2 linked regions of the Tamandua tetradactyla genome follow. The protein of the gene in region 2 interacts with the protein of the main gene of each other region in a pairwise test. Links are inferred from orthologs where the notes say so. Each region holds a gene or a part of one and is shown on either strand. Other genes may lie near its edges.

Region 1 (3,909 bases), on a different chromosome or scaffold from region 2:
GGTTGAGTCTGTTTTCACTACTACCCATGGAACCTGGATAAACACTTCTGGGGAAGTCCAAACCCAGTCACAGGAAACAGTCAAACAAGCCTTATGACTCAGTAAGTTATTCTGCAACTTCAGTTTTTGATCTCTTTGACTTGTTGGTTTGGGTCCTGGACTCAGAGGTATACTCCAAAGTCTAGGCATTTGACTATTCATAGAAATCATAAAAATAACCTCCTTGGGATTCTATCCTCTCAAATGTTCAGCACCGTAGATTGGAAACTTGATTATATCATCTCCAAGAAGATGAGACTCCTGCAATTGTGGGTATTAACCTTTGATTAGAGGGAGATGTGACTTCACCCAGTCCAGGTGGGTCTTGATTAGTTTACAGGAATCCTTTAAAAGAAGAAACATTTTGGAGCCAGCCATGAGAGCCCACACAGCCAGAGACCTTTGGAGTTGAAGAAGGAAAACGCTCCTGCAGCGTGAAACAAGAGCCTGGGGAGAAAGCTAGCACACATGGCCGTGTTCCCCATGTGCATTTCCAACAGAGAGAGAGAGAGAGAGACCCTGAATGTCATCCGCCTTCTTGAACCAAGGTATTATTCCCTGGATACCTTAAATTGGACATTTCTAGAGCCTTGCTTTAGTTATGTCATTTTCATAGCTTTAGAACTGTAAACTTGCAACTTAATAAATTCCCCTTTTTAAAAGCTATTCTGTTTCTGGTATATCACATTCTGGCAGCTTGCAAAACAGAAAAAGGGGGTTCAAGGTTTTTAAGGATTTTTAGCAAGGGGGGATGAGGTCACTTGAATAGCAAGTTGAAGTGGAAGGGAGACTGTTATTATCATTTCAATAGGAGAACAGGAGCTGAAAGGAGGGGAGGCAGAGCTATCACTTCAGGACTAAAGGTGCAAGCCAAAAGGCTGGGAGCTGAGTTACTTTTCAATGGCAGAGGCTGGCTGATGTAATTTACAAACGCTGGGGGCTGAAGCTACTTAATGGCTGACTTCAAATTCTTCATTAGCATTAGAGCCTTTGTCCACCTAAAAGGAGTAACAACTCTTACAGCCACAACGGCACAAGGTAAGGGTTTTTACAATCACTTCAGGTATCAGGAGAGCTGAATTATAGTTTAGGGATTTCACGTATTCCCCTCTATCTACTCCAACATCCCTGAAAGCAAAAAGGAATATGATTCAGTCATCAAAAGCATTCCTTAAATCCTAATTCATCCGTTACACCTGCATCTGGAAAGGCTTCATACGGGGAGCAGCCAGGCAGACATTAGCAGAATCTCCTCTTTGGCTGTCACCGCCTCTGGAAATTGGGGGCTGAGGCCAGGAGGCAGAGGGAAGCACCCCCACGTGCGGGCTGGGGCACGGCCAGGCCGCCCTGGCCCCTTCAGGTTCCAGAGACCCGGCAGGGCAGCCCCTGCGCCCTGGGGCGGGAGCGGGAGGGGCGCCACGTCAGGCCCTTCTCCAGGAGCGCGGGCCTCCAGGCCCCTTCCCCTTCCCCGGCTCCTCCTCCAGGCCCCGCAGGCCTCCGCAGGCACGGGAAGGCGCCTCGGCCTCGGCCACGAGCCCCTGAGAGGCCGGCTCCCCGGCTCCCCGCCTCCGCGCAGCGAACGAAGCGGACCTTTCTGTGCGGCTCCGCCGAGGCCACCAAGTAGGTGCGGAGCCCCCACCCTGGGGCGCAGCGGGCCGGCGGGGCCGCTCTTCGGGCCCGGCCCGGGGCTGCCTTGGGGTCTCGGCCGCTCCGTCTCCAAGCCCTTCGCCTCCTCTTCCGGAAGCGGCAGCGGCCCCTCGCGGGGCGCGCCCTGCTCGTTCTCTTTCCCCCGCTCCCCGCTCCCGCTCGGCGCCAAGCCCGGACGGGCGCCCCAGCCGCGGCCTCTGCGCCCCCCGCGCCCCCCGTCCCGCCCGCGCCGCGCTGCGAGGGCTGTGCCGTCCCGAAACCCGGCGTGGCCGTAGGGGCGGAGGCGAGCGCTCGGCGAGCCCAGCCATTCGGGGTGACCCGGAGAGGACTCCCTGTCGCGGAAGTGCGCGCGCGCCTCTCCCGGCTTCCCGCGCCGGCGTTCCGGGTGCGCGGGCTTGTGCGTCGGGCGGTGCCGGGCAAACCCGCGAAGAGCGTGGGTATAATAGCACAGGCTGATTTTTGAACTTTGACCCTGAGCCAGAATTTGTTCTAAGCTCATTATCTATGTTAACGTCTGTATTTCTGTCCTCACAGTTCCCCTAGGCGGGTAGTTACAGCTGTATATGCAGAACAGACTCAGAGAAGCCAAGGGGCTCAGGTCTACCGGCGGTAGGCCACCTCACCTGGTACCCACCCTGGGGCTCCGCCTGGTGCCCTTCCAGGGGCCCCACCCCCCACCCCATTCCTCCCTCTCCCCAGGCCCCACCCGCCCCGCTCCAGAACACCAGATACTTCATCCTGCCCTTTACCCTAATTGCCATCTGCCTCTAGGCCTCTCCCACTCCCGGTCAGTGACCTTTAACCTGGCTTTTGGAAATAGAAGTCAGCAGGGGTGGAAAGAACATCAGTGACCCCTAGACTGCAGAATGAAAAACTTGTGCAAAAGTGAAACCAACTAAAGCAGTAGTAACTTAAAGTCATGCAAACATAGCAAGCCAGTCCCCTGGCACATAATAGGTCTTTAGCAGATTTTATTTGTTTTGAGTGTTTGTCTGCACAGATGGTCACAACCAGTAAGGAACACAGGGAGCCGTGAGTACTTAAAGGAAGTCACAGATAGAGAAGGCGGCAGTCCAGCGACTTCCAACTCATTTTGATGCTTGGTGCTGTGGGGAGCACCCAGTCAGGCCTTGAATCTTTTGCAGTGAGTGCTTCTTCTTTTTGTAGATGTTCACCCACCCTAAGAAGGAATCCAGGGGACTTCCCACCTGCCCCAGTCCAGCTCCCACACAGGATGTGGGCAGTAGCTGCGGGAGTGGTCTGGACGAAGAATGCTCCCGGAAAGCAGACCAGAAGCCTTTGGAGCTGTATGGAGTGGGCGAGCTCCCCGCTGTGTTCTCCTCTGACAGCCCCTACTTGTCCTCTCGAGGAAGAATCGTTAAATGGTTCTGGGACTCTGCTGAGGAGGGCTACCGGACCTACCATATGGATGAATACGACGAAGTCAAGAACCCCACTGTGAGTAGACACCCCCACACAGGGAGCCAGGAGATGAGTGCATGGCAGGGTGCCTTCCCTCAGCCAGTAGGGCAGACCCCAGCTTGCTCCTGTCAGGTTGGCATTGTGGCTTTCTGACTTCCTAGAGGACCTCTGATGTAGTTCAGAGAGCCCCAGTTTTTTGCCTGGATCAGAAAATAGCCCGTTTATAATTAAAGGGATCCTCACTTGTGAGTGAGGGATTTGAGAACCATCAAATGACTTATATAGAGTCTCACCCACGGCCAGGTAACTATGCAAGTTTGGAGCTGGGACAGAACTAGAGTTGAGGCTGCAACTCTGTCTTTTGGGTTGTGTATTGTTGAGCTAATTGCTTAACCTCTTTGAACCTTGGTTCATTTGTAAAATGGGACTAACGATACCTGCTTCATGGAATAGTCCAGATTAAATGAGATCAACTAGATAAAGTTATAGCACAATACTTGGCCCATAGTATGCTCAATAAATGATAGGTACCTTATGATTAATCTTATCCACTTTGATTATTATTATTAGTTATTGTTAATAATACTTCCAGAGGCCAGAGCAGTCACAAATAACCTTTAATAATATTTATTTGTTGAGCATCTCACAATAGCCAAGGACGTTTCTAGGTGCTGAGATTGCAACAGTGACAAAAACAAAGTTCCTGCCGTCATGAAGTTTATATTCTAATGGAGGGGACAGACAATGAGTAGAGAAAATATATATATAATATGTGATAATAAGTGCTATAGAGAAAAATAA
Region 2 (3,909 bases):
TGGTGCCTGCCCATGCGAAAAAAAATTTTGGACCAAAATAAAAAGTTGTTTGCTACACTACTGTTAATTGTTTCATAAATGGAGTATTTTTAGGTTGCAAATATGTGATCGTCCACATAATGCTCGGGCTTCTGACTTTTTTGGAAAAAGCGCCATCTTATTAACAACTGCTATGGATTCAGTGAGATGACTTGTATCATTTGGAGTGTATAAATACTTTGCAACCTTTTTTTCCTTTTACTGTTGCACTTTGAGTTTGGTTCCTACTTGAAACAAGATCTATTTAGCATGTATTGTTATCCAACCCAGGCTTGACATGTCACAGGGTGTGGGGTGGGGGTACGGGGCTAGCATGGGACCAGAGCATGTGAATCATGGTCAGGCAGTGATGACCTTCCAGCACCTCTTGACCCCTCGAGCCGGTAAGCCAACCACTAAGCTCCCTTTGTGAAACTGAATGACCCTTAATAAAAGTTGTAATTAGCACACTCAGGAAAAAGTGTATGTGTCTTTGTTGGTGGAGGGTTGTTGGGTTTCATTCTGGCTTCCCAGCTGTTTTTTGTTTGTTTGTTTGGTGATCATTCGGTTCTCCATATATAATCAGTAATTCACAATATCATCACATAGTTACACGTTCATCATCATGATCACTTCTTAGAACATTTGCGTCAATTCAGAAAAAGAAAAAGACCAGCTCTGGTTTTGTAATTGGACGACAAGATCATAGCCGCTTTGGGGTGTAGGATGGAACCGTTCGAAGTGAACGCATTTCTCGCAGTCCTCCTCAGACCTCGAAGAATGCTGGAGGAACTTCTTAAATGTTCTGTCTTTGAGCCCAGTCCCTGGAGGCCAAGAGAAACTTCGACCAGCCTTTGAGCCTGGTGTCACTCTTCACGACGTGGCGTGGACGTCGCTTCTCGCAACCTCCGGAGGTCCGGCGGCGCACTGGGAAGTGTAGTTCACCTCGGCGCCCCGCCCCCTGCCGCAGCGGCCAGTGGGCAGCAGACTACCACTCCCAGGATGCTCCGCGCCCCTTCCCGTCGGGCGAGTGGCGACGGCCGGGCCGGAGGTGGGGCTCGGAAGCGGGGCTCGGAAGCGGGGCTCGGAAGCGGGGCTCGGAAGCGGGGCTCGGAAGCGGGGCTCGGAAGCGGGGCTCGGAAGCGGGGCTCGGAAGCGGGGCTCGGAAGCGGGGCTCGAGAGGGGTCCGCGGCCATGGCTAGGAGAGACCTCAGGGGCTGCGCGTCCTAGAAGGATGGCGCGTAACCCCGGGGATTTCAGGGGCTGGGAGCATATAGGCTGCACTCGGTCGGGGGGACGCGGCGAGGGGCGCGGCCCGGGTCTGGAGGTGACTCCGGGGCGGGCCCTTGGTGGGGCGGGCTCGGGACTGGAAGAATGCCTGGCGTGGCGTGGCCCGCGTGGATGAGATAGCCGGTGTTGCCCCGCGGCCCTTTGGCCTTTGCAAACCGCTCTTAGGAAATTCCCGCGCTCTCCACGCTGGGGTAGAATCCTTGATTGGTTAGGAGATGGCGGGAGTTCCTTGAGGTGTTAGGAGACAGAACGCGTTTTGGACCTGCAGTTCGTGAAAATTGCCGTTACAGAGAATAAGAAGCACACTCAGATGGCCCCTGCAGTAACCCCTGGGAAACTCCGCGTCCTAATAGCAGGGCAGGCCAACGCCCGAGAACTAGAGATGGGCCTTTCAGACTCCTTTCCTCCAAGGCACGCCGAAAGTCGCTTTTAAATGAAGGAAAACTTCGCTATTAATGTGGTGTGTCAGATTTACACCTAGTGTGAAGGGAAACATTTCCACGGTCATAGAAAATCGTGTCAAGGAGTGACTAGAACTCACATCGTCTCCTCGTGCTGGGTGCTGCCAGAAAGTACAACTGAGTTTTGCCTGGAAGGGTCTGTTGGCCGTGGTGCCAGGCACCCACCTCCTTTCTGAAATGGGACCTACCATGCCCCAGATCCTCTAAGCTGCCACGCATATAAAGAATGCTTAATATATGGAAACAGATTTTGATTTCGAATGGGTGAAATGAGAGAAGACTTGATAGGCTTTGGACTCAAGTACTATTAAAGCTACTTTTTTTTTTTTTTTTTTTTGGCATAGGCAGGCACTGGAAATCGAACCCGGAACTCAGGCATGGCAGGCAAGAACTCTATCTGCTGAAATGGGGGGAATTCAAACGAACTGGACAGTGCGGTGAAGGAGCTGCCAGCAGCCCCAAAGCCCTGAGATGGTAGGGGAATACAATGAGGTGGATGGAAGTGTGAACCTGCATAGGGAGAAATCCTAATGCCATGGACTAGTTTGGGGGCTGGGTGAAGGGCCAGGATGTGGCCCCTGGAGGGGAGTGATGTGGGTTAACTTTGATGTCAAACTTCTTAGGCATATGCGAGGGTTTCCTCTGGGTCTCTGACTCTCTAGCTGGGAGGCAGGGCATGGAGGCAGATTGCTGTGGCCCTGTTCTGAATGAGTCCATTCGTGGAAATTCTAGGAAAGCATAAAAGACTTCTGTCTCTAAATGCCATTTGTGCCTCTTTCTCTGGTAACTTGGCAGAAGGCAAAACAATTCATTCTGCATTCCCAGCCATTTATTTCCTCAGTTTCAGCACTATTCACAGTTTGATTTTTTAATGTGATTTCTTTTACCCATTTTTAGGCAGCAAAAACCAAGAAAGGATTGAAAGGTAAGGGAAGAGAGAACACCACCCTTCAGCCATTATATATAACCCTTGCTCAGAAATAATTCAGACATGCTCGGGTCTGAACGTTGTTGATGAGACTCTTGCTATGTTTCCCATAATTCTTTAGGCAGCATGGGCTTCTTGAAGATAACTCCTTATGCTGCCTCGTTGGTCCTCAGAGTAATTCAGGAATAAATAAAGATGGGACTTTGGAAAAAATCCTTGGGGTCTGTATCCAGAAATATATGGTTAAGGTTAAGAGTGACAAAAAGCACTTAAGCTGGAAGCCAGAACTAATTCATTCAGCCTCTATCAGAAAGTGGCCAAGGAGGCATGCATTCAGCAGACCTGGGGGCTCTCGGATGGAAGGATCCAGAAGGCTTTTGATGTGAAAGGAGCCATTATGAGCCCTGAAAGTCTGGATACTTTCTCCACAGAACCATACTGGGCTCTGTTCAGAGTGTGGGGTGGGAATTTTGCCCAGGGTGTCGGGTGTGGCACACACCATGTAGGTTGCGCTGAAAATCTTTACTATCCTTTGAGAAAGTTACTTTCAGTTTCCACTCTGTGTTCCTTCAACAGTGCATTGTGACTTGTTGCCAGCGAGTTAGAAAACATCTTATGGCCTGTAGGAGGAATGCTAAGTCTGAGTCCCCTTATCTGAGAGTTCTGAGACCCTGGGATGAGGCTCTCGTTTCCTCCTGAATCCATGATGCTTCCTTTTCTGTTCCAGGCTCCATTGATGATGTCCTTGATGACCTCTTGGGGGAAGACAGTAAGTGCCCCCTTCCCCAGAATCCCCTGGTTTAGGCTTGCTTTTTTTTTTAATTGCGATATAATTCACATACCATAAAATTCACTCCTTTAAAGTGTACAAATCAGTGGTTGTTAATGTATTCACAGGGTTTTGGAACCATCACCACCAGAACATTTTCATTACTCCTAAAAGAAACTATATCATTAGCAGCCATTCCTCAATTTCCCTGCGTCCAGCCTTAGGCAAACACTCATTCATTTTATATGCTATTCATATAAAATGAAATCATACAATATGTGGTCTTTTGTGTCTGCCTTCTTTCACTTAGCAAAATGTTTTCAGGGTTCATCCAGGTGGGAGCGTGTATCAGTCCTCCATTCCTTTTTATGACGGACTGTTCCACTGTATGGACATACCCCAGATGTTACCCATTCATCAGCTGACAGGAATTTGAGTTGTTT

The links.
Region 1: the proteins of FBF1 (region 2) and ACCS interact in a two-hybrid assay, tested with the Homo sapiens proteins (2 studies listed by BioGRID and IntAct). The two-hybrid records come from large-scale screens. The link is inferred for Tamandua tetradactyla from reciprocal best matches to the Homo sapiens genes FBF1 and ACCS.

The regions. Positions count from the first base shown.
Region 1 is NC_135334.1:120,683,006-120,686,914, forward strand, and holds the start of ACCS (1-aminocyclopropane-1-carboxylate synthase-like protein 1), read left to right. Parts: upstream 1-1,528; 5' UTR 1,529-1,663; intron 1,664-2,853; coding exon 2,854-3,144; intron 3,145-3,909. UniProt on the Homo sapiens protein: Does not catalyze the synthesis of 1-aminocyclopropane-1-carboxylate but is capable of catalyzing the deamination of L-vinylglycine.
Region 2 is NC_135332.1:16,320,221-16,324,129, reverse strand, and holds the start of FBF1 (fas-binding factor 1), read left to right. Parts: upstream 1-1,123; 5' UTR 1,124-1,252; coding exon 1,253-1,345; intron 1,346-2,113; exon of another isoform or gene 2,114-2,117; coding exon 2,118-2,153; exon of another isoform or gene 2,154-2,240; coding exon of another isoform or gene 2,241-2,243; intron 2,244-2,666; coding exon 2,667-2,694; intron 2,695-3,424; coding exon 3,425-3,466; intron 3,467-3,909. UniProt on the Homo sapiens protein: Keratin-binding protein required for epithelial cell polarization. Involved in apical junction complex (AJC) assembly via its interaction with PARD3. Required for ciliogenesis.